Schizosaccharomyces pombe: one gene and its partners. The gene in region 2 interacts genetically with the main gene of each other region. Each region holds a gene or a part of one and is shown on either strand. Other genes may lie near its edges.

The links.
Region 1: of pab1 (region 2) and ulp2, a mutation in one rescues a mutant of the other (synthetic rescue), as found in Schizosaccharomyces pombe (one study listed by BioGRID).
Region 3: of pab1 (region 2) and tsc1, changing one suppresses a phenotype caused by changing the other (phenotypic suppression), as found in Schizosaccharomyces pombe (one study listed by BioGRID).
Region 4: of pab1 (region 2) and gad8, changing one suppresses a phenotype caused by changing the other (phenotypic suppression), as found in Schizosaccharomyces pombe (one study listed by BioGRID).

Annotation. Positions count from the first base shown.
Region 1 is NC_003424.3:1,763,505-1,769,289, forward strand, and holds ulp2 (SUMO deconjugating cysteine peptidase Ulp2), read right to left. Parts: upstream 3,230-5,785; 5' UTR 3,208-3,229; coding exon 3,187-3,207; exon of another isoform or gene 3,141-3,186; coding exon 3,085-3,140; exon of another isoform or gene 3,027-3,084; coding exon 2,833-3,026; exon of another isoform or gene 2,752-2,832; intron 2,685-2,751; coding exon 1,838-2,684; intron 1,769-1,837; coding exon 1,664-1,768; intron 1,663-1,663; exon of another isoform or gene 1,610-1,662; coding exon 1,373-1,609; intron 1,289-1,372; coding exon 832-1,288; 3' UTR 729-831; downstream 1-728. Other genes in the region: transcription factor TFIIH complex ERCC-3 subunit Ptr8, read left to right, coding at 1-697; erp2 (COPII-coated vesicle-associated protein Erp2/3/4), read left to right, coding at 4,283-4,915; protein phosphatase regulatory subunit Glc8, read right to left, coding at 5,584-5,785.
Region 2 is NC_003424.3:506,121-511,878, forward strand, and holds pab1 (serine/threonine protein phosphatase PP2A regulatory subunit B-55 Pab1), read right to left. Parts: upstream 3,774-5,758; 5' UTR 3,572-3,773; coding exon 3,528-3,571; intron 3,484-3,527; coding exon 3,443-3,483; intron 3,366-3,442; coding exon 2,083-3,365; intron 2,061-2,082; exon of another isoform or gene 2,040-2,060; coding exon 2,016-2,039; 3' UTR 1,402-2,015; downstream 1-1,401. Other genes in the region: pfd4 (prefoldin subunit 4), read left to right, coding at 1-235; yip5 (Rab GTPase-binding protein), read left to right, coding at 423-1,172; cleavage and polyadenylation specificity factor complex subunit Yth1, read right to left, coding at 4,549-4,600, 4,660-4,950, 5,047-5,216; fol3 (folylpolyglutamate synthase), read left to right, coding at 5,687-5,758. UniProt on the Schizosaccharomyces pombe protein: Phosphatase 2A affects a variety of biological processes in the cell such as transcription, cell cycle progression and cellular morphogenesis, and provides an initial identification of critical substrates for this phosphatase.
Region 3 is NC_003424.3:673,044-680,357, forward strand, and holds tsc1 (Rheb GAP, hamartin Tsc1), read right to left. Parts: upstream 5,217-7,314; 5' UTR 5,196-5,216; coding exon 2,496-5,195; 3' UTR 2,278-2,495; downstream 1-2,277. Other genes in the region: THO complex subunit Tho2, read left to right, coding at 1-2,277; G-protein-signaling regulator Rgs1, read left to right, coding at 7,133-7,314. UniProt on the Schizosaccharomyces pombe protein: Together with tsc2, required for uptake of various amino acids from the environment and for proper conjugation. Involved in induction of gene expression of permeases and genes required for meiosis upon nitrogen starvation.
Region 4 is NC_003421.2:910,803-916,639, reverse strand, and holds gad8 (serine/threonine protein kinase (AGC family) Gad8), read right to left. Parts: upstream 4,141-5,837; 5' UTR 3,524-4,140; coding exon 3,502-3,523; intron 3,431-3,501; coding exon 1,743-3,430; 3' UTR 1,402-1,742; downstream 1-1,401. Other genes in the region: SAGA complex subunit Ada2, read left to right, coding at 1-1,258; SPOM_SPCC24B10.06 (uncharacterized protein), read right to left, coding at 5,381-5,576, 5,642-5,792. UniProt on the Schizosaccharomyces pombe protein: Involved in a signaling module for sexual development and cell growth under stressed conditions. Required for G1 arrest under nitrogen starvation and for growth at high temperature and osmolarity.

The DNA of each region.
Region 1 (5,785 bases), 1.3 Mb from region 2:
TGTCTATGCTTTGCGTGCTTATGCAATAAAATTAGGCAAATATTTTATTTATGGTGGAACTCCACAGCAGGAAAGAATGAGGATTTTGGAAAATTTCCAGTATAATGAACTTGTAAATACCATTTTCCTTTCTAAAGTTGGTGATACGTCTATTGATCTTCCTGAAGCAACCTGTTTGATTCAGATTTCTTCTCATTATGGTTCTAGGCGTCAAGAAGCTCAACGTTTGGGGCGTATTCTTCGTGCCAAGCGACGAAATGATGAAGGCTTTAACGCATTTTTCTATAGCTTGGTATCTAAAGACACTCAGGAAATGTATTATTCCAGTAAACGGCAAGCATTTTTAATTGACCAAGGCTATGCTTTTAAAGTCATCACTAATTTAAAGGGTATGGAGAACTTGCCAAATTTGGCTTACGCCTCCAAAGCGGAGAGACTTGAGCTTTTGCAGGAAGTATTGCTACAAAATGAAGAAGCAGCTGATTTGGATGACGGTGAGGATACTAGCTTTGGATCCAGAAGTCTCTCTAGAGCACCGGCGAAAGCTAAACGTTCTAGTGGTTCTTTAAGTACATTGGCTGGTGCCGACAATATGGCATACGTGGAATATAACAAGAGTGCTAATAAACAGCTGAAAAAGGACAGTAAAGAACATCATGCCTTATTTCGGAAGCACCTGTATACTAAACGTCGCTAGCGAAGTTATACATGCTAGCATACACACGATATAGACATGAATTTTGTTGATTTTTCTACGCTAAAATTTTTGATAATAATGCTTTCGTTAAGTTTTAATATGAAATTATGATTTCCCTAATTCCCTTGTAAATTCTAATTTGTGATTGGCAATATTGCCAAATCATCATCATTTTCTTTATCTTCTTCATCGTTGCTTCCGCTGCTAAGCGATTGTCGTTCATTGTTAGACGACCACTCAGTTGACAGACGGCGAATTAAACCCTTCAAATCGCATCTCATCGTGTTAATCTTTTGAAGGTTCCACTGTTGGTCGAAGTTTTTAGCATCCGTCCGTCTAAGAGATTTATCTAAAGTATTGGCTATCACTTGCTCAGGAGTTTCAAGAAATAGTTCGACGAAATGTAACGCATATATACCACAATCAGAAAAATTGCTTTGTTGCGGGACTTTTGCATGAAACCCCCGTATATCAGTGGACTTAAGATGTACATTTTTCCTTTCGAAAGCTTCTTCCAGTAAATATTCACGTAAGTAATTTAATGCTCCTTTATGAAGATTTGCTAAAGAATCAAAAATCAAAATTGCTGGACTATAATTAACTTAGTAAACTGAATCAAATGATTTATGATATATTTTTCCTTTTAATCAATAAAATTGTAAACCTTTAACATACCTATTGCTCGTTAATTCTGCTTGTCTAGTCTTTGAAGCAGACGGTTGTTCCACAGACGACATAACTATTTCATCCTGCTCTTCCAGTTTTGTGTCCACAGGCATTAATCGATCAATGTTGCAGATAATAGCTAGATACCAATGAAATGTTTCATTGATAGGAACAATAATGTATTTTTTATGGAAAAGGTCAACTTTTTGAGTCCACTTTCGAACTCCTCTATGACCTAGCCGCTTGCTATATTACCCATTAGTGATCAAATAATTGATAGAAGTAAAGCCTGTTACATACCCATCTTTATCTTTTGAAGTAAGACGATTATAGAAAAATGTGTTAAAAATATGAGTGTCATTGGCCAAAGAAGGATTTTGTGTTTGTAATTTACAGTATAAATATCTAAATTTTTGAGGTTAAAAGAAGCGAAGATTCCAAAAAAAAAAAAAAAAAAAAAAAAAAAAAACTTACCTCAAATAAAAATCAACAATAGTATCGTTTAAAAATTCTCCCTCATTGAGTCTTGTAAGGTCGGTATTAGTAATGGCAATTGAATTTGTTCCAGAAAACGGATATACGAGAATAGTGGTACAAGATGCATCAGACAGAAGTGTTTTATCAGAACCTTGAGAACATAAAGTTGAAAAGTCATTGGAAGTGTTTCCAGCAGAACTTGATGACTGATTTTGCTCTTGAGCTCCGTTATTTGCCGTTGGACGCTCTGACGATGACTGGTTCGAATTTTTAATCCTGGAAAGAAGAGAGTCACCAGAATTGGAATTAAATGGAGTTGGCGAGGATGGAAGGGAATGTTTAGGCATTTTTGAGGAATGTGGAGACGAGGTCTGTTTAACAATTGACCTTACAGTTTTCTGGGGAGTGCGAGGGATGATCGTGGATTGTTTTAAAGTCAATAATTGTTTAAATTCTTTAGCCGAACTAGGAGATGTTAAAGAAAAGTCAGATTGGTCCAAAAGATCAAGGCCAGCTCTAGCGGATTCTACATGTAATGGGTTGTATAAAAATAATAAACTGGCAGAATCACCTATCGTAATTCTTTTCATATCTCTATTTTTTAAGGTTAAATGAATAGCATGTACTGGAGATTCCACCAAATTGTCTCTCCATCCTTGAAGCCAGCAACACCGCTTCAACAATTGGACAGGGATGTGAATGACTGGAATGCTAGTATCTGTGTAAGAAACATTTATTTCATGGGTAGTAAATTTTAAACACCCAGGCCTAGGATCGTAAAAACCTCCATAACCCCCTTTTGTGAAAGGCAGCTCGACCACATCAATTGTTTTCTTTTTTCGTGCTAAACAAAGTAGCCAAAAAGAGGCAAAAATAAGTTAGTTTTTATTTTAAAAAATCAATTATTGATACTGAAGAAGAGGAATTGTTCTAAACATTTTGCATTTCCTCATGCTTTACACATGGATCAGAGCAAAAAAGTTGCGACTTACGAGAAACCACTGTAACATTTTGAAAAGAGCGTTTTAAGTGCTTAGGAGGTGTTTGATCATCATCTATCTGCTTCCGCCTTGGTGAATCCTTCTGTATAGCAGTTCGAACCGTTGGCTTTTCCGGGGATGTTACACTATTCGCTAGCCTTTCTAGCGGGCTCTTAATAGGAATAGCATCATTTGGGCTAGTACCTCTAGATTGTAAAAATATTAATATAGGAATGTGAATTAAAAGACGAGGTAAAGTCAAACCTTTGTTTTCCAAACGGGGGAAGAAGACTAGTGAATGACCCTGATTTATCATCCAGCTAAAAAATAGTTAGTAAGAAAAAGAAACGAAAAAGAATAACATACGGCATCTTTGGAATCTCTCATTCTTCATGACATACCTGTTTTGGCGAGATAGAGAAGCCTACTACTTAATCAATGGCACAGGTTTTGTGAGCCACAGCGCGTCCAAATAAAACATAAGGATTCATTATTTTGCGGTAGATGATCTGGGTAAAACAATGTAAATAAAGGGTATCAACCAATGCAAAGGATGTAAGTATCTCTAACAGTGTCTTTAACTCAATGTAAATGAATAAAAAACGAAAGGCATAGTTGCTTTTTAAGCTGATTTCTTCCTAACCTTTGATTAATCATATTACGATTGTTTTGATTTTTTAATAACGAATAGCGAACAAAATGTTGCTGTTAACTTCCAAGAAAATGATTTTTTGTAAACTATTCTAAATTCTTTTTATTGACTAGAATATATTTTACAGATCGTTTATTTAAACTTGTATTTATCTCTGATTTACGAATGCATTAGATACATTAGTCAATTGCAACCATAGTCGCATTAAAATCAATGTAAATTATAAAAAAAAATAACAACAATACATTAAGAACAAGTAAGAGCATGGGACATTCACGCATGAAAACCTGTTTGACCTTTGTATAATATCATGAAGAAGTATAATAATACCAATATTACTTGAATATTTATTATATGATATCATAGTAAAGAAAGTTAGTTTTGAACGATTTCCTTTCTAAACTATGTTTGGGACTAGATCATTTAAAACCACCAAATTATTTTGATAATTAAGAAGAAAAACTTCTGCTTTTATTTTTCGAAGGTTTACTATTTGTTATTAGTATGCTGATGATTCTGGGTTTATACTCATTTTCATAAACAATTTTGTAAATGATTAAAAGAAGAAAAATTTGTAAAATTGTTTTAAGAGTATTTATTAAGACTAATACTCTAATTTATATTCCCAGAACGCTATCGATACTTGCCTTTTGCGATACAGCATATTCCACACTGTCAACACTCAACGTAGCAACAGCCTACTCTGCAGCTGAGCATAAAACTACTCACATATCGTAAGTGAATTTGTTTTGATACATTGGAATTAAAAGTTATATTAAATTTTTGAAGATTAACCTTACTTTATAGAAAATGCGCGTAATTACTCTAAGCGGCATAACACTATTTTTGCTCGCCAGCTTAGCTTCGGCTATTGAGTTAACATTCAAGTTAGAAAACCAAGAGAAGCAGTGTTACTACTTAGATTCTTTTCACACTGGCGAAAAAACACATTTCACGTACGCTGTTCAGTCTGGCGGTTCTTTTGATGTCGATTATATGATCAAGGCACCATCTCAGAAGACCGTTGCACTTGGCAAAAAGAGAAGACAGGCTGATGTATTTTTCACCCTCGAAGAAAAGGGTGAATATGAATTCTGTTTTGATAATCATATGTCTACGTTTACTGATAAAATTGTGACTATGGAAATCACTATGGAAAATGAACTTTCTCTTCCTGCATTAACCCGTGATGAAGCCAAAGACTACAAAAAGGACAGCATGCAAAGTACTGTTTTAGAGATCTCAACCGCATTATCTGAAATTGACCGTGTACAAAATTACTTCAAAACTCGGGAGCATCGTAATTATTCTACTGTAAAGTCTACTCAAGCCCGCATCTTTTGGTTTAGTCTTGCTGAATCTATAATGGTTGTCGCTCTTTCTGCTCTTCAAGTCTTTATTGTAAAGACATTCTTTAAACGATCTGGTCGGAGAGGTGTATAAACTGACTAGTCGGTCACCTTTCTAACAATATTCATATCTGTCATGCCTATGTATGCCTTTAATCAGTCTTAACGAAGCTTATAGCTCTATTGTTTTATTCAGGATTATATTATTATGCCAGGATTTAAATAAGACAATCGACATGCGTCTTTATTAAATCAAGGATTACAATTTCTTGTAGTTGAAGTATTTTCCACTAAGCAATATTATTATTTCCTTCATTGCATTTTACAACTGTATTCGTGTTTCATACAAATTTAAGCAACCTATCAACGAAATAAAGAAAAAATGTGCTTAATGAGTATTTAAGTATAAAAAATTGTATACTATGAAAAAAAAAGAATGGGTAGGGTTAGCGGCCATAAATGAAGGATTAGACTGCTAAAAGGGCATAAAAATGAAATGAAAGCCGTTAAACTATTTGAAGTTCATAAGAAAGGTTTTAATATAAACCGAGCAGAACAACTGTACAACCAAAGTGAAAAGGGCAAAAAAGGGGAATAGAAATGAATAAAAAACGTAAACGGAGAAGACGCAAAAGCTCATGTAATAAAACTTTGAAGGTCGAAAAAATAATTTGCAGTCGTTTGACGTTATAATAAATGAAACTCAAGATCCTTTGTACTTGCAACTCACGTTTCAATAATGCGTAAAGTTAATAAAGTGATTCACTCATTTTCATTCATATTTACATCAGAAGCTGACCCAGAATCGCTATTATCTCTCTCTAAATCACTCTCTGTACCACTGCTTTCAAGTTCATCTCTTTTCAAGGGCTTAGCCATAGCAAAATAATGTTTCTTTCGAAGTTCGTTGAAGTCCGGTTTCTTTTTAGGAATGTTCTCTTCAGCTTCAGATAAAGCCTCCTCT
Region 2 (5,758 bases):
TGAATGTGAATTACTAGACGAGGATGATGGAGACGATATTCCAGCTTTAAAGGTTGGCGATGCCTTTTTCCAAGTTTCCCTTCCTGTACTCCTTGACCAGCTTGAGCAGTCAGAAGAAAGTTTGGAAAAGCAAGTCGACGTATTAAGATCTTCCATGGAAAAAGACGAAACCCGCATTCAAGAGTTGAAATCAATGCTGTACTCTAAATTTCACGATCAAATTAACCTAGACTAAGATTTGGAAAAAGCAGCAAATCTCAAAATTAGAAGCTTCATCTTATTTTTCTGAATTAGTTTCTTTAATTAAATAACATTTCATGCATTTAAATTTATTCACAATACCAAATCTGTATGCAATTAGCGCCTCCAATAAGTAAACTTCTTTGTTCACCCTAAGCCATTACAAGTATCCAACCACCACTATGGCACATGAGATTGAAATTGACTCGGAAGCTGACCTAGGTCGTACAACATTTGAGGCTGAAGACCTTTATAAGCAGAGAACTCCCATTACAAAGCCTCCGGCCCCTAGATTACAATCTCGTCGCGCATCCATGCAAGAGACGCCATGGACCATCAAAGATTCATTTAACGTGGAAACTAAAGATGTGGTTCAACGATGTATACATACTCTTATTCCCACTGTAAATTTCTTTGATGTTGTAGATGATCGTCCCGATTTATACGGTCCTTTTTGGATAACCACTACGGTTATACAGGCTCTATTCTTTTCCAACTCAATTACCGAATACGCTCGTTATGCCACAGGGCATGGTACAAGTGGCTATTCTATAAAAAAGTTGATCTCTGCAGCATCAATTATTTATGGTTACACTACCATTATCGCCGTTTTGTTATGGGGTATCCTAGTGTGGAACAAATGCAACCCTAAGTTACTCGACTGTCTGTGTTTATATGGATATGCTAACATTGTTTGGCTTCCCGTTTCTTTAGCAACTCCTCCGTTTGGATTGCTATCTACTTTGGCCTCCCATATTGTCAAATATGTACTTACAGGGATTGGTTTGTTAATTTCCATTGTGTTTTTAACTAGAAATTTATATCCTATCTGTCAGCAAGCCGGATCAAATTTGTGCAAACTTTTATTGTTCGGAATTATCGTCTTTCACTGTTTGCTCGCTTTGTCTCTTCAACTCATATTCTTCAGTTAATATCCTAATTTGTGAGGAGTTTCTTTTATCAGTCGCATTGCTTCATTCGAAAATTATACTATTCCCCTTCTTTCATTCTTTAGAAAAGTCATTCAGCATTTAAGATCCTATTGAGTCTAAGTGTTGGTATACTCTATATGATTCAGTTTATACATATATTCGCTTTACATTTGATTTTCTACTCTTTTTACTATAGCTACTAATGTTCCCTCAATTTACTAGGTTTTTTTTTCAGGTGCAAAATACGTATAAATAATCATTTCTTATGCATTGATGAATCATGCCTTAGTAAAAATAATTGTAGCCTTTTTAGTGAACCAAAGACTTTATGACATTTAGTCATATTTTTGCAATCGATCTCCCGTCATTTATATAGAAAACTTAACACATTATTACTCGTTGTTCAACAAAAAAGAGCTGAAGGTAAATTAATGGTGAAGCTTAACCTGAAAAGTACTTTTACGATTTCAAATTCAGATTTTTTTCAACAAGAGAAAAAAACTTTGTGAGATATTGAAAAAACGTTGAAATTTACGATGCATCACCACAATTTCAAGATTAAAAAGGAACACGTAAAAAGAGAAAAAGAAAAATACTGTGGATAGCAAAGTACATATGTATCGATTCACGGCATACATGAAGGGAGATAAACAAAGCACCCTTTTATCATTAGTCCTAAAAACTTTATTTCTGTCATTAATGGTTAAAATGGTGTGTGTATATAAGAATACAATCTGAAAGAAGAAGGTAAGAAAACTCTTATTCCCGGAAGTTCAATAAAAAAGGAACTATGTTCAGTCTATCCGTAGATCATAAAAACAAACCAAACTCCACATAAGGACATTAGAGCTTAGAGAAAACAAAAAGCTATTGAAACATTAGTAAACAAAAAGTTGATAAGCAAACGTACATTATTAGTAGCGGCGATGGCAACTGAGTCTTCAAAGGGATGCCAACTGGCATGTAATATCTTCTTATTGTAATCCAGGTTATCAGGATCAAGGCCAACAGAAGCAGATCCCATCGCAGCTTGAGGTTGTGACCGCCAATCATTATTTTTCACAGCATTCAACTTTGGAACGTTATTTGCAGCAGATTTTCTGGCTCTAAATGCAGCCTTGTCGGCTTGCAAAACTATCTGTCCTCTATCGCCAGGCAAAGAACTATCTGTGGGGTAAATCCCAAAGTTGTTGCTATAACTTCCTGATAAAACGTGTTTGTCGTCACCAGAAAAGGTACACTCGAATTTATCAAAAATACAGTCATTTTCATAGAGATCGCATAACTTTGATCGCAAAACATCATGCAATGGAATAGTTTTAACGGGAGCTTTTTCCATGTTGACATCCCATATCTTAAGAGTTAAATAATCTCTTGAAAGAATATAGCGGCCATTTTGTGAGAACTTAACGTCTGAAATGCTAGAGATGATTTCAGAAAAGAAACTCTTGGAATCTTGATCTTCTTGATCCTCGAAAAGCTTACATGGATTATCGCAGAGCGCAGATTGACGCAAATCTAAGAGTTTGATATTTCCCTTGCTGCTACTATACATGAGATGATTGCAGTTTATCGGGTGAAACTCGGCACTAGTAATAACTTCCGTAAGTTCTTCCATATTTTCAGGTTTAATGTCAACTATGTTGAATGAATGATCGGAGATGGACAAGTTCCATAAGTTGATACGTAAATCATCAGCGGAAATGTAAGTTTCTGCATCAGAGTTAACGCTAATCGAATTAATATGATATGCGTGTGCATTAGCGTAAACACGTCGTGGATATGCAGCGATAATCATGTCATGATGGTTGAGTCGTGGGAGTCGAAGTTGCGAAGGTGTTGTCAAAGGTCCTTGCATAGGACTGTGGAAACTGTCCGACAAATTATTTTCGGCAACGACTTTCAAATTCTTTTCATATAGTTTCCACAATTTTATAGTTTTATCATTCGTTGAGAGTAAAAAATGCGCTCGATTAGTCCTCTTGCACCAGCGAATTTTATTGATCTTTTCTTCGATTTCTAAGGACTTGAGATAATCAAACTCGGGTTCATGACTTTGAAATTCAGTAAAAAACTTATACTCACAACCCTTTTTCGAATGATTTCGCTCAAAAAGAACGACTCTGCCACCTTTATCGCCGGTTGCTAGATAATCACCTGTGTGGTCGAATTCTACTGCTGAAATGATATCGGCTAAACTTGTTAGTCATTTATTCAGTGATTAAAGTAAAAGAGAACTCTTTTATGAGAGAACTACTCAAAACCAATACCTTCAGTGATGTCTTCCACATCACCCTTGTCACCAAAGCATCTAAAGAGTTAGTCATTAATTTTTTTCACACATCGTTTACATACTGGGCAAATTTCCACTGATCCAAAGAGTCTTCTATATCATCCATCTTCTACTCGTATTATATTAAGATTTCGTTCCCGTTGGTACACTTTGCCAATTTCAATTGTATACGAAGATCTTGATCTTCAAATTTCTAAGGGTATCTCTATACCGTCTTTGGATCTTTTTTCAAAAGTTTTGATACAAAGTTTCCCAGTTTTCACTGGCTTTTTTGGAGGGCTGCTGATTTTCCTAACTTGATGGTTCGTATCAAATGCTGCTACCCTAACGAATCTACACCACTCTTCGGCGAGTCAAAAGCTCAGTAAAATTTTTATCGGTAAATCAAGCCTTAAGCGACTTTAAGTTATTAATGGATTTTTGATAAATACAACACTATTTCATTACTTCAGTGTTCATCTTACGCTTTACTACACATAGGATTTTTTGCTCAACTTTACAAAGTCCAGTGTAAAACTTGTTGGCAATTTCCCATTAATGAAACCTTAATCATTTGTACGCTAAAGAAAGGTGTTTTTGATTATAAAAAACTAGAAGTTCATTGTCATATAAAAGATCCATATTGTTTTTATAGTTTGCAAAATTGAATACAGCAGATAAGTAAATTACAAAAAAATAAGAAACATAACTGGAAAGTAGCAAATATTTTACGAATAACGTATGAATGATTAAATGAATAAACCGTCCTTGATACATTACGATGGCGCTCTACGTAAGCGTTTTACATACTGGTAAACGATACTTAAGTTCCTAAATTTTCTTTTCCTTCTATGTTGCAAAAAACATATGTAAAAGGGAGACTTATTATTTAAAACTTATTTTTCGGTTTCTAAATACTTCTATTATCCCGATTATGTGTCGATTTGGTTCGCCGCAACCAAGACAAACCCAACGTCGATAATTAATTTTATTCCATAAAAAAAAATCTCAATAATCAATGTACGGCATCACTAATTGCATATACTCCATTGATAACTTGATTTCATTACCTAATATACAGTGACACATTAAAAAACGCATCCTTTACCAGTCTTTCCGCTTTTGAGGAGGATGCGGAGGTTCAGAGTGTTTAGGACTAGAACATGTTAGTAATAGAAAGAGAAAGTCAACACTATAATTCTTCAAAAAACTTACTGAGCATCTGGGCAATTAGGGCCTAGCGGACAAAACCCAGCTAAATATTTTGGGCAAGGCCTTGGTTTTCGTACATGTTTGCCTCGACATATAGGTCCTAAAGGACAAAATCCCATATTATACCAGGCACAGACACCAACTTGTTTACTGGGATCCAAATGGAGATATAAACACTCTTCGCCATTAGAACACCAGCCGCGCTCTGCATAAAAGTGACATGGAGGCATCTTTTTTAAATTGTACTCGTGTAAAAAATCACACTGTTCACCTTTTTTACAAAGTCCACGAAGCCTTATATAATATTAGTTATCATGAAGGTAGAAACAAAAACAAATAGAAAAATACATGAAATATATATTCATATTACTCTTCTTTATATATACATACCAATGCTTGCAAACCACGCTACCCATTTTCGATCCAGAATCGCGTCCATTTCCAGAGTTTAGCAAGGCAGACCTTCCGAAATTAAAATTTTGCTTTAAATAGTTATCAAAACGAAATTGAACTGAAGAAAAATCAGCTGCTATAGCTTTATCTTTGATATAATCAGTCATTTTGTAGTAACCAGTAGATGGCGGAGGCAACGTTGTTCAGTTGACTTGAATATCACAAATACTTTATTGACTGGCATTCACATACTATAAATGATGCTTATTAAACTAGAACGAATTAAATTATTCTTATAATATTCATGAAATCGCTATTGTTTTAAGGTTTTCTTCATAGGTATGTTTGAAACCTAAGTAAAGAATGATATTATGCAGCATACGAATAAAATAACTTTTATAAAACATATTCTTTTTATCTAAAATTTACCTCGTCAGAGACATAACTAATTGCTTCTGTTGAGAATTTTACTAACATACTAATTTGCAACAGAAAACGTATTATCTTCGCTTCCACATGCAAAACATATTCACATGACCAAGTACTTTTAAAGTTTTTACGAGCTTATAAAGGTAAAGAATCATTATTTTTTAATAATACAGCATTAAAATTCCTCCTTTACTATCGCTCACGTAGGATGCCTATTCAGCTAGGTCTTCAGCGTATGCTACAGCTCTTGAAGCACCTTGGCAATCCACAGGAATCGTTT
Region 3 (7,314 bases), 170 kb from region 2:
GAATGCTCTGATGTTCTTTATCTTTTAATGGAATTTCTTAATATGGTTTGCTCTCCAAAGAGCTATTATAAATTGATTCCTTCATTTGAGCAATTAATTCAAGATTTTCATATTCAACCTCAGGTTGCATTTTATCTATCGCGTTACAAAAATTTAGATCACAGTTTGACTGGTTCAAATACTGAGGATGCAATGGATATTGATTATGAAAATACTTCATCTCCAAACACTGCTAGCAACCCCGTTTGGAGTATTGACAATTCTGTCATAACTGAGTTATTACCTAAACAAATTTGGGATTATTTTTCACCTAATTTTTATTTAACATTTTGGAAGCTATCGCTGTATGATGTTTTTGTTCCCTTGGAACGTTATGAGTTTGAGCGTTCTCGGGCTTTTGATCAAATTAGGCAAACTGACGCCGCTAACACATTTTATTCACGACATCGACACGACCGACAAAAAATAATGCAATTGTCTAACAGCTTACAGAATGAACTTAAAGAACACATTAATTCACTTGAGAGTGTAAGAAAAGTTTTGCAAGGTGACTGCGTGAAATGGTTTATTCCAAATGGTGTTTTTCCTAATGGTACAAGACTTGAGCATGCTAGATTCAACTGTGCTCGGTATTTGTGGACACTCTGCATTGCTCCCCGTTTAAAAATGAGCCCACATGATGCTTTGTACTGCGCAAAGTTTGTAAAGCTTTTGCACAGTCTTGGAACACCAAACTTTTCAACTATGTCATTTTTAGAAATTTTGTTTAATTCACAATTGCCTTCATTTATTTTTTCAATGACACAACGAGAGGCTGATAATTTTGGAAGATTTTTATACGAAGTACTCTATGATATTACTAGCTGGTACAGGGACAAAATTCTTTACGAACGCGAATGTTTGGCAAATGGTGCTTTGCCTGGGTTCAGGTTATATTGGTCTGACGAACAAAATGATCCCGATCTTTCCGCTGTCCTTCCTTATAACAAATTTGTTTTGCTATTTAGTAAATGGCACAAATATCTAACATCTTATTTTGAGTCATGCTTACTATCTACTGAATATATGCATATCTACAATAGTGTCATAATCTTGGAAAAAATTTTGCCATGTTTCCCATTGATAATTGAAAGTGGCAGTGCTTTGAAACGAGCCGCTGAACGATTAAAGGACGAAGAAAAACGAGAAGATTTAAAGGTTTTGGCTTTGGGGTATTTTGCAAAGCTCTCAAAAAAGCAACCAGAATGGGTTTCTTTTAATTCATTTTCTGGTACTGTAAGGCCGAGTAATTCAGAAAAGCTTCAGAGACCGCAACAACTTTCAGTGGCAGCTACATCAGCAGTTGATTCCAAAACTGCTTCCATATCGGAAGAACAGGCAAAGATTGATAAACAGAAAGTAGCTTTGAATCCTAGTGCACCAGAGTTTGTACCTGATAGTACGCCTTCCGACGCAGTTGCTTCTGAAACTGACAATAAAAATCTTGTTGAGAACAAGGCAGTAGAGAAAAGGGTTGAAGCTAGAAGCTCAGCTAATGAAAGAAAACAAGAAGAAAGACGTAGAAAAACAACTCCTGAAGGAAACAGACGTGCTTTACGAACACGCACCCCTACGAATGAGGATATACAAAGATCAGACAGTAAATTGCGAGAGGATCAGTCTAGAGACCGAACACCTCAATCAAGAAGTTTTACAAATGAAAACAACGATAATTTAAGGAGCGTGTCTCGTCATACTCGACGCGAGCCTCAGCAAGCACAAAACCTAAATGCTAGGCGTGAACATGAATCACAGAAATCTGACAGATGGCGCCAAAATGGAAACGTAAATCGCAACCCTCGAGTGTCTAATAACAATAGCACTAATGTTTCAAGAGAGCGCTCGTCTGAAGCTAATCATAGGACAAGCAACGATAATAAACGTGATGAGGTTACAGAAGGGAAAGATAAAAACAAAAGGCAAGATATTTCTGGCGAGAGTAATTCTCGGCAGAATAATGCTATTAGTCGGGCTGGAAGAAGTAATGGATCTAATAGGGGAAATGATTCCAGAGATGCAGATGGTCGTCGTAGCACTCATTATGCTTCAAATAAACGTCCCCGATCTTCGGATAGTCAAAGCCCGAGCAACCTACGAGAGGAAGATGAAAGAGAAAATTCTCGTCGTAGGGCCAGGCAAGACGACCGAAGGGATCGGGATTCACGACAGCAAAGAGATCGTCCACGGGATAGAACATCTCGATCTGCTCGAGAAGAGAAAAGAAGAAAAATTCAATGATCCACGTTTCAAGCTTTAACTAGATGTCAGCTTTTTTTTCTTATCTAACTAAATTTGTAATTACAAGGAAATAATGAAAAATCTTTATATAAGGAGATTCATACACAGAATTATGATGGTCGTGAAAAATCGTAATCTAATTATTTTATATGGAATGAGCAAGTATGTTTTATCATAATTGACCAGTTCATTTCAAGGACCTTCAAAAATATACCTACTTAGTATTGGCGAAACGTAGAACGACTTGTATCAGTAGACTGTCTACGTGGCGGGCCAACTTTAGGATGCAAAGAGTCATTACGAATTATGAACTTGCTTTGTTGCAAACCAGGGCTACTGTGTATTGAGCTTCCAGTATCAACAAGCGGTTTTTGAAAGTTTTTTAATTCTTCGACCTCAGCTTGTGATTCTAAAAACTTGCCCTCCAACTCACGGTACCGCGTTAATAGCTCATCGTAATTTTCTTTTATTTCGGATATTTTAGACAACTGAGCGTCGTAATTTAAGTTGACAGGATTATGCAACTCAGGTGCGTTCGCTTCAGATGAAAGTCGTTTTTCCAAATCAAAAATCTTAGCCTCGTAAACAACATTAATGGCTTCCAGGTCCTTTTTCAGTAGCTCAATATTAGCTTGAAGATGCAAGTTTTCTGATTCCAGTTTCATTCGATGTTTTTCTGACTCGATCAACTCTCTTTCTTGCTCATCACTAACAGCTTCACTGTTAGAGAGAATCATACTACTGTCCATCTTCGTATTTCCAAAAGAAGTATCAGAGCTCGAAGAGACTTGCTTTTTGGAGATATTAACGCAGCTCAAATGCTGTTCATATTCTTTCAACTTAGTTTCATAGAGTTGAAGCTTCAACTCCAGTTGATTTTTTGAAAACGCAATGTCAATTTGAGAATTTCGTATTGATTCCAATTGCGAGATTAATGATTCAATTGATGATTTGAGTTCTGATTCTTCACTTTTCCAAGCTTTCTTTTCTTCTCGTAACGCTTTTATTTTGTTGTTAAAATCATTTTCCCACTTAACCCTACGATTTAGAGCTGCCTGTGATTCTGAGCGATGTTTGTCAATTTCAGAATTCAGTAACTCTATCTGAGCTTTATATCTTTTGTTGGTTAAAAGCAATTTTTGCCTTTCTGATTCCACAGCCATATCTAGTATGTGCTCACGATGAAGCTTTCCAATATTTTGCAAGTGCTGCTGACGAACAAATTTTTCAAAACGGAGCTCATTCTGAAGAAATAGCAGATCCCTTTGTAAGCGTCGAATTGTATCGTTCGTGCTGCTCAAACTTTCACTAGTCAGTTCCAAATTATTTGAGCCGCGTTCACCTTTAACCATGTGAATTGAGGAAACACCTTCACTATATGATGTACCATGCGAAATATTATCATAAGAATCTTCAGTATTTGATAATTGGGCTTTGTCAAATGTAGTCGCGGAATGAACAGAACCCGATATTGATGGATTTTGAGGCCAAGATATGGAAAAAGGCTCAGAAGCAATATCATGGCTTTCATTTGGATAGGCCAATAATCCAGTAGCTGAACTTGTCTCTTCATAAGTGGTGGGAAGCTTACCACCAAAAGGATCCATAACACTTTCGGCTATTCCAACAGCGTTAAGACTATTACATAGGGCCACTACAGCAATAGAATCAAGTCTTGTCCAACGGGATTTATCGGTAAGTTCTGTTTCTGCTGTATATTTAAGAAAATTAGAATGTGCCAAATGTCTACCGAGAAGACCATCCGACTTTGTGGAGAGGAGTTCTTGATTAAAGGAATAACGTATTTGGAAATTATGTTTAGAAGCATACAACTTAGGATCCCGAAGAAACTCTAAAAAGTTTATAGGGTACAGAGCGTACAAAATTGAGAAAAGTTGAGAGTAGTCAAGACTTTCGAGATAATCTGGTTGAGAAGAACCAACAATATCATGAACATCATTGTAAGAGCTATCTGTTTGAGAGGTGGTAGTTGAGGCATACGTTGACATAAAATCGTGAAACACCTCCCAATTACCAGACGCAGTAGACGATGGGAAGCCAGAGGTCGGGTCAATCATTGAAAATCGAAGATAGATACAGAACAATCTATATAAGGAATCGTCTAAGGAGTTACAAATGTGAGACAGTATCATAAGGATGAAAGATAATGCATACGACAGTAAGATTGGTGAAGTATCAAATTCCGCACATTTTAAAACAAGGTCATAGAAGCCAGTCTGTGGTATTTCATATAAACGAGGACCTTGCCGCCGTATTACTTCAACCATAACTGATAAAATAGGGATTCGGGTTGGAGGATTTAAAAAATGATGACAAAAACAAGAAGAAAGTTCCTTTGGTCTCTGTATCCCATAATGGACGAGAACATTAACCAAGCATTCAATAGTTTGATTCCTTTGCTCTTGAGATTCCACGTCACCTAGATTTTCGATAGCTTTAGAAACGTAAAGGTCAACCAAACGAGTGATAGTTTCCTCAGCGCACTCCCGTCTCAAGTCTCCACCCCATTCATCCTCGTCGTGAAAAATTAAAATGTAAAATAAAATACTTTTCAAGTCACTAAATACCGGTTTCAATTGGGTAGGAGAATTCAAGAAAGGAAAAAAGATCTGGTCCCACCATTCACCAACTGCTTGGCGATCCAAAATCAACAACGGTATAACCGTTTTCAACACAGCTAGCCATAGTATCCGTCGCCTTGTATTATTGAACGGCGTCTTTTCGTAGATCTCGTCCAAGATGTGTCTTATTTTTTGTGAGTTAGTGGGGTTTTGTTTGGGATAACGCTGCTGATACGACTCAACTTCCGCAATTAACTCAGTCAAATCGGGATAGCCTTCCGATTCTTCTTCATGAAGGACGTTCCATAATGCTTTGACTAGCGATTGCAGCGGCATTCGTACAAAGTTGGCAAAGTCAACGTTGATATACAACTATGCGACATTATACTGATAGCAAGTCTTGGCAGCATTGATAAACGTAACGAGGATAGCGTAGTCTGCCACATTTTTTTAATTAGTCTTTGCATTTTCAACCAAATTATACAGCGCTATCCAAAAATCCTTTAACTAGATTACATGTCAACCATACAGGTCGTAATTCGTTTTTAAGATACGATAGTACTGCAATGATATTTTTTAGTGTAATGTACATAGTATAATAAATTTATTGTAAATAGTTATAAATATCCTAAAATACTCGTTAAGAATACCAAGAAGTATTTATAATTACACTTATATAGCTAAAAATTGAATTGAGGAACGTTGTTTTAAACAAGCTTTATTTGAAGGAATCATAAGTAGTAAAGTAAGTTGTAATTTTTATCCAAATTATGTAAACATCATCTATACCATGGTACTTGATCCATCTCCAAAATTTAAAGAATGTATTAAGTATTGATTTCTAGGACTATACAGTATAGTAGGCAGTGTTCGCATTTTCAGCACAGAGGAAATACGAAAGCAAACAATGCGAAAACACATTGAGAGTTCTCTGAATAAACATGTAAAAATAAAAAGAAAACGGTTTTACTATTAAGGATTCCTAGGGAACTTTTCTTTCAAAGGAAGTTAGAGGGCAAATAATTTGAGTCGGTCTAATATTATGGTAACATATTCAAGCACTTTTAACGACATACTCTTAACTGCTATGTTATTCCACAGTGTGTTACAGTCACTTAGAGAGAAAATATTTCATTAATAAAAAAAAACTTTTATAGGGCAGGTGTAAGAAGCGTTGCAAGGCGCAAAGTAGAAAAGAATATAGTCATGGAAAAGGGAAAGCCGGTGCTTGTAAATAATTACAAACACCAATATTTTTTAATTTATATCTTAAAGTCTTCCAAGTTGGCGATGTAAAGTTTCATAACAAAAGCCATTTCATTTTCATTGCATATTTTGGGGTCATTTCAGTACCCAATGGAACTAACAGGAGAGATGCAGTGAACAACTAAGAAGTATCAAAATATCTGTAACTGTTTATAATCCTTTTTTGCTTACTTCTTTTACTTTTTGTTTTTCCCCAGTCTCCAGGAGTGCTGGGTAAGCTTTATTTACCAACCATCTGTGAATTATCCAGCCATAGCATATCTCCTTCTACTAGTTTATATAATATTTCCTTTCAAAAAATAGGCAAGCGACTGCATATCCTTGTTTAAATGTCTTATTTTGATTCTTTTTTTATTATTATTCAATCGGTGTTATCACATGAAATTTACCGATTCATTAAAACCCCTTTCGGAATAAGTTGACGAAAGGTGGAAATTGCTACCTGTTTTCTTTGTTCTGCTTTCTCACTGTTAATTTGTTGGGGTAAACAAATCAATTGCACAATGTTCTTTGTTCCGTTAAAGTTCCCATTGTTCGCCATTTAATGATTTCTTTGTTTAAAAGAAAGCGTATAGCAATGGTTAGATGGGAAACTTCGAAGTATAAATACTAAGGCATTTCCCGAATTTTCATCAGTGTGCCTATATCGACGTTTACAAAATTGCTCCAATCCTTCATTCGATTTTAAATTTAATAGGGATCAGACCTATTGAAAACAGCTGGAGACCTGATTTAGTATCGAATTACCCGTAATTGATTATAAAAATTGACGGTAATCAAGAAAGTGGGACTATTACTATATATTTAAATTTCTTTTATCTTATTTGAGTTCTGTACTTCTCTTTTATCTTTTAAAAAAATAAAAGAAACAATATTTAACACTCCATTGTGCTTGGCTGCCCGATCTCTGTCGCTTTTTCGCTTAGCAAGATCACAATTCTTTTGTTCATCACTTTATTATTTATGATAAAAGGCTACAAATTCGTAAAAGTAAGAATCAGCTTTGGATGCCCGCCCTTCATAACCCTTCTTCACCACCGCCCAGTTATGAAGCTGTTACGTCTTATCGCAACGGAAATTCAATAGATTCCGGCGATAAACGTCAACAATGTTCTCGATTAATGAAAATTACCTCTAATGGTAGACCCTATAGCAAGGACTTTTTGGAGCTCTTCTCGACGATGGTAAT
Region 4 (5,837 bases), on a different chromosome or scaffold from region 2:
TCATATTCGGTGCGTAGAATGTGTTGACTTCGATTTGTGCATCCCCTGCTTTACATCTGGTGCCTCCCTAGGAACTCACCATCCGTCTCATCCGTATAGGATTATTGAAACCAATTCATACCCTATTTTCGACGAAAATTGGGGTGCTGATGAGGAACTCTTACTAATCGATGCTTGTGAAACACTGGGCCTTGGAAACTGGGCTGACATTGCAGACTATGTGGGAAATGCTCGGACGAAAGAAGAATGTCGGGATCATTATCTGAAAACCTATATTGAGTCGGATTGCTATCCATTAGCAAGCGTAGAGCTCCCTGGACCGGTGGATCGCATAGCATTTGCGGCACGGAAACGAGCTCGTATTGAAGCTTTTCAGCCTCCACCGATTATTCCTCAAAAGCCTCTAGCATCTACACCCCAATGCCACGAAATCCAAGGCTATATGCCGGGCCGTCTTGAATTTGATCAAGAGTACATGAACGAAGCTGAACTGCCCATAAAGGATATGAATTTTGATGACGATTTACACGAGTCAGCAAAGCATGAAATGCAACTTAAGCTGACTATGCTTAACATATATAATTCCCGTCTTACTCGTCGGGCTGTTCGTAAACAAACCATTTTCAATCACAACCTTTTAGATTATCGACGGCTACAGGCGAATGAGAAGCGCATGTCAAAAGAGGAACGAAACTTACTTAATAAAACAAAAGCATTTGCTCGACTTTTGACGGGCCCTGATTACCAAAAGTTCGTGAACAGCTATCACGAGCAAATAACCCTAAAAAAACAAATTTCTGATTTACAGGAATGGCGACAGATGGGTCTTACTACACTCGAACAAGGACATAAATATGAACGCGATAAAACGCAAAAATTCCTCTTAAGTAAAGCTTCTGCTTCATATGATAAGCAATTGAGGCATGTTAAGTCGTTTAACCAAACCACTTCCGCTCCTTTTCAAGTTCGTGACATTCAAAAGATTGTTCCTCGAAAACCAGCGACTCCCACAATGTTTTCTGCTTCCGCTGATCGGCAACTGCTTTCAGAGGATGAGCAAGCGCTTTGCTCAAAACTGCAGATTTTCCCTAAACCATTTTTGGCTCTAAAATTTGCCTTAATATCGGCTTCACTGACTTCCAAAAAACCATTTCAAAAAACCGATGCAGTTAATTTATTTAAACACTTAGACGCTAATAAAGTCGAACAGGTGTACGACTTCTTCCATAATGCTCGGTGGATTGGCGCTCCAACCTAAAAGTACTGGTTTCTTTTACCTTTTTCATATTACTCTTGTTTATTACCTTTACGTTTTGAAATGTAATTTTACTAATTACCCCTTCACCTTTAATTACATCTCCGTCTTTTTTTCCCTTTTCAATAGCCGTTACGTTCTTATGCTTAATAATTAAAAAGAGTTTTCCATCAATTTTCTACACTAGTAATTTCGGAAACTACAAGAACAAAAAACACTACATCCAACAATATCTGAGACTTTTTCTCAGCTGACAAAAAATAAATAATCTTCAAAGACTTGAGGTTGTCAGTAATAATAATAATAATAATGATAATAATAATAGTAATAGAAAATGATCTTGTACGACAAAAAAAGATGACAATAATGAGAAATGAACGAAGCTTTGGCCTTTATAACATACAAATATGTAAAAGAGGCAAGAAAAGCGGCATGTATGAGTAAAAATGAGAAAACTTTCAAAATAAACAAAGAAGTGTCAAATTCATCACCTAATGACACTTCCAGGTGCTATTGTATTAATGTCGTCGGATGTATCAATGGTTGTTGGTCGTTGATAGCTCCAATTGGCAAACCTTTGTTGAACGGTTTCAGATAAGTGAGAATCGGCAACAACACTATCCATTGGGATTTCCGATGTAAATTCAGAATCAAAATTACTAGTATCGATAGCTGATTCAACGCTTGGTTTAAAGGGTGGCTGTATCTTCTTGGCGCATAACTTTTTCCAGTCGATATCATCAAAGAAAGGGTGATTTTTTATTTCTTGCGCCCCTCCACTACCCAGCCGCTTCTCTGGAGCGCGGGTCAACAATCCACTCAATAAATCTTTTGCTTTCTCGTCAATGTTGTCTGGGAATCGCAAGGGATCTTGAAGAATTTTTCGGTACATTTCGTTTATATTTTCATCATAAAAAGGAGGAAGTCCTGTAATCATTTCGTAAAGTAGCACACCTAAAGTCCACCAGTCAACAACTTTTGTATAACCATGACCCAAAAGCAATTCAGGAGCGAGGTATTCAGGGGTGCCACAAAAAGTATTCGTTCTATCGGTTTTAGCCATGTTTAGCTTACAAAGTCCAAAATCACACAAAGCAATATGACCGGTGTAGTCTAATAATATGTTTTCCGGTTTTAAGTCTCGATAAATAACGTTGAACTCATGCAAACATTCCAAAGCAACAAGTAGTTCAGCAATGTAAAATTTGGCACGATATGTATCAAAACAGCCTTCTCTTTGTAAGTGATGAAATAACTCACCACCGTTAACAAAGGCCAGGACAAGATACAGCTTACCGGGAGATTGAAAGGAGAACTTTAATGGAACAATAAAAGGGTTATTAACTTGAGCAAGTACTGTCCTCTCAGCCAATGTGTGATCTACTTCACTGCGAGATACAATGTGGGCTTTTTTCATAGTTTTTAAAGCATAGATACGAGAAGTGTCACGCTTACGCACTTGCATGACTTTTCCAAAAGAGCCTTTGCCAACCACTTTCAATAGTTCAAATGCATCAATGGTTAAAGGGGTACTTTGATTGGGTTTGTAAAGCATTTGAACACGAAGTTCACCGCTACCCCCATGCAGGGGTACCCATTCGTCTGTAAGCTTGTTTACAATGAAAGAAGGCGACAGTTTAATCCCGCCTAGGAAAGCGTCATTCCCCATACCGTTGCGCGAGCGGCTGGATGAAGAACGAAGGTAAATATTCAGGGAGAGTTTGGAATAACGGGAAACGTCAAAAGTTGCCTGATAATCCCAGCAAGGATTTTCAAGGCTTGCAGTATTTAGAGCATCTACTAAGATTTCATTTTTGTCGAATTCAACGACGATATAAGGTAACCACCAAGCATGACTACGAGACCTTGCGTGTCCCGAGCCATTACTAAGTGGAGGGGCAAGTAAAGAATTGTCAATGGAAACCCCGTAGTTGGCAGGAACATGTCCCGACGGTAATTTTAAATTTCTAGCTTCTATAATTGTGACCTGCAATAAACCAGGCTGCACGACGGTACTTTGGGGAGACCGTTTATCCTCCGAGCTTTTCCGAGATTTTTCATCACTTGATTTACGAGAAGAAGTAGAGGATAAAGTACTGTTTTTCAGACCTCTAGTAAAACTAGAGCCGCCAGAGTTCAGGCCAATAGCGGATGCTAGATGAGTTTCTTTTAATTCTAAAAAGCGAAAAGCTGTTAGTATGAAAAAGAAAGACAGAGTGTGATAACCCGTATTATGGAATACATACTCTTTGTAAGTTTCCAGGACATTTCGGTAACGTCTGTTTGGAGTAGAAAAAAAAAATGAACTGATTTTTAAAAGCTCGCTTTCCCTCTATCTTTTCTTTTAATATAACGAAAATGATAAAGAATAAGGTAACGAGGCTGCAAAAAAGCTTCAATCTAACAAAAAACGTATTTATGGACTAATTCGAAGACAAAAACGGGAAGTGTACCAGTAAGCGAATACGAACGAACAATCAAATCAAATCCAAAAAAAAAATAAAATAAAAAGTAAGCACAAGTTGCAATTTTTTTTGAATAAACGAAAGGGGATACAGGCGTTTGGTAATGTCAGTATAGTAGTAAATTCGTCAAAGAAATCTAATCCCGATAAGTAGTAAGCAAGGGTGTTGATTTTAAAATTCAAAATAAATCGCAATCTCTTTTATTCCAAAATCCCTACTAAAGGAATGCTTCGTTGATAAAGTCGATTTCTAAGCCGATTTTGGTATTACGACTTTGAGCAAAGTCGCCTTCACCTCGCGGAAATTTTGACGAAATTGAAACCAATCGACAGCACTAAATACGTTAAAGTCAATGAAATAAAATTTGATGTCAAAAATGCTTTCGTTTGATATTCCCTTTGTTAGGTCGTATTGGCAGTCAGTAGATGTGGCCAGCTCGGATCATCCGTATTCCTAAAATACAAGTGGTACAAGACAGCAGCTTTTTGCGGCAGAACAACGTGAGTTCGATAAAATATTATAAGGAGAGCTACCGATACGGTCGGCACATTACGCAGGTTTGTCGTATAATGATCAAAAATTATAGACCCTTTTCTCGTACGATTGCACTATATATAAAAGTTCTTTGCAATGGTGTTTTACATATCAGCTATTAAATTAGTTAACTTAGTAATGTCAAAAAGATGGAATATTAATATAGAGAAATTAAAAGTGCTGGTGTACTCTTGTAAGTGGTAACTTGCTCAAGTTTGTAGTGACCTAAATTGAAACATAGGATTTATACTACACGTGTCAAGAAACAGCACTCAAATGGATCAATTTACAAAACGAAGTATATAGCAAAACAATACAAATAATTATCTTGACAATTATCTGCGGACAAACGCAAAATGCCGTTTACGCGTATGTGTAGCTTAGCAGACCAATTAACTTTATTTGTTTTAAAATAATTATAGAAGCATGTAAATACCACCGTTAGGATTGCAATATCCTCTTTACAAAACAAGTCATTTATTTATGCCTTCCATCAGATTTTTGCAACTTCCAAGTACGATGCGTTTTGTAAAATTTCAGTTCCTTGTGCAACAAGCGAAAAAAAAAGATAAAGCAATTTAACGGAAAAGCAATTTGTATACCAATGCTCTACTTTTAATACACTGGACGCTTCGTACAAGTCCTTCAAAGTGTATATAAATCCAAAGAGAACTGAAAAACAAAAAACATTTTCAAATAAAATAAAATAAAATAACATATAAAACAGAAATAAAACATGAACAATGAATTTATGAAAAGAACGAAATTTGTTGAAACTGATGACTCACTCAACTGTAGGCAAACCCTTACTTACCCATGAGAAAAGCAAATTCTTTTCGTAGTTACTTCTAGAAGGCTCCTCACTAGTAAAAGCGATGTTTCTTCAGAGTTTTGAATTTTCTCACAGAGAGCTCCCTTTGTGTGTTTTATTTAAAGGGATGAGACGAGTTTGCCAAAGCGCCTAAAAAAAGAAACCGGTTATCGAGCGCAGATATAGAATTGACAGTGTAAGTAGCAACAAAAATTTTAAAAGAGTAAAGTAGAATCAAAAACTATATCTAAGTTTAGAAAATCCCTAAAGAGAAATTTTCAGGTGAATGTTAGGGGGTAGGTTCCGGTTGAATTTTTAAAGGACTAAAGCGGCAAAAGCAGCAATGCTCAAGAGTGAAACAATCAATAATGAACTCTTGGAAAACCGGACAGGGGACCCACTCTCCATCAATTCGCGCCCTGTATTGGGAATGGATGCTGCGTATCCAATGGATCCGGCAGGTGCAGAAGTGTAAGTAGTAGATGGTTGATATTCGGTGTAACTATAAGGACTAAAAATAATATTAGTAATTTTACACAAACAAATAGTTTCCATAAAATGACAAGCATGACTTACAAAATGGTTTCTACACCATCCGACCAAGATTTGTCGGTGACAATCACAACATCGCTCACAGTAGTAGAGTAACTTGCCTGAGTTGAACTAGAATCATCATCCCTCTTAACAAATGGGGTCAAAGGAATTTTTGAGGGCAAAACACGATTAGCTAAATATACTGAGTTAGCTATTTCACATAGTCACAAAATATAAA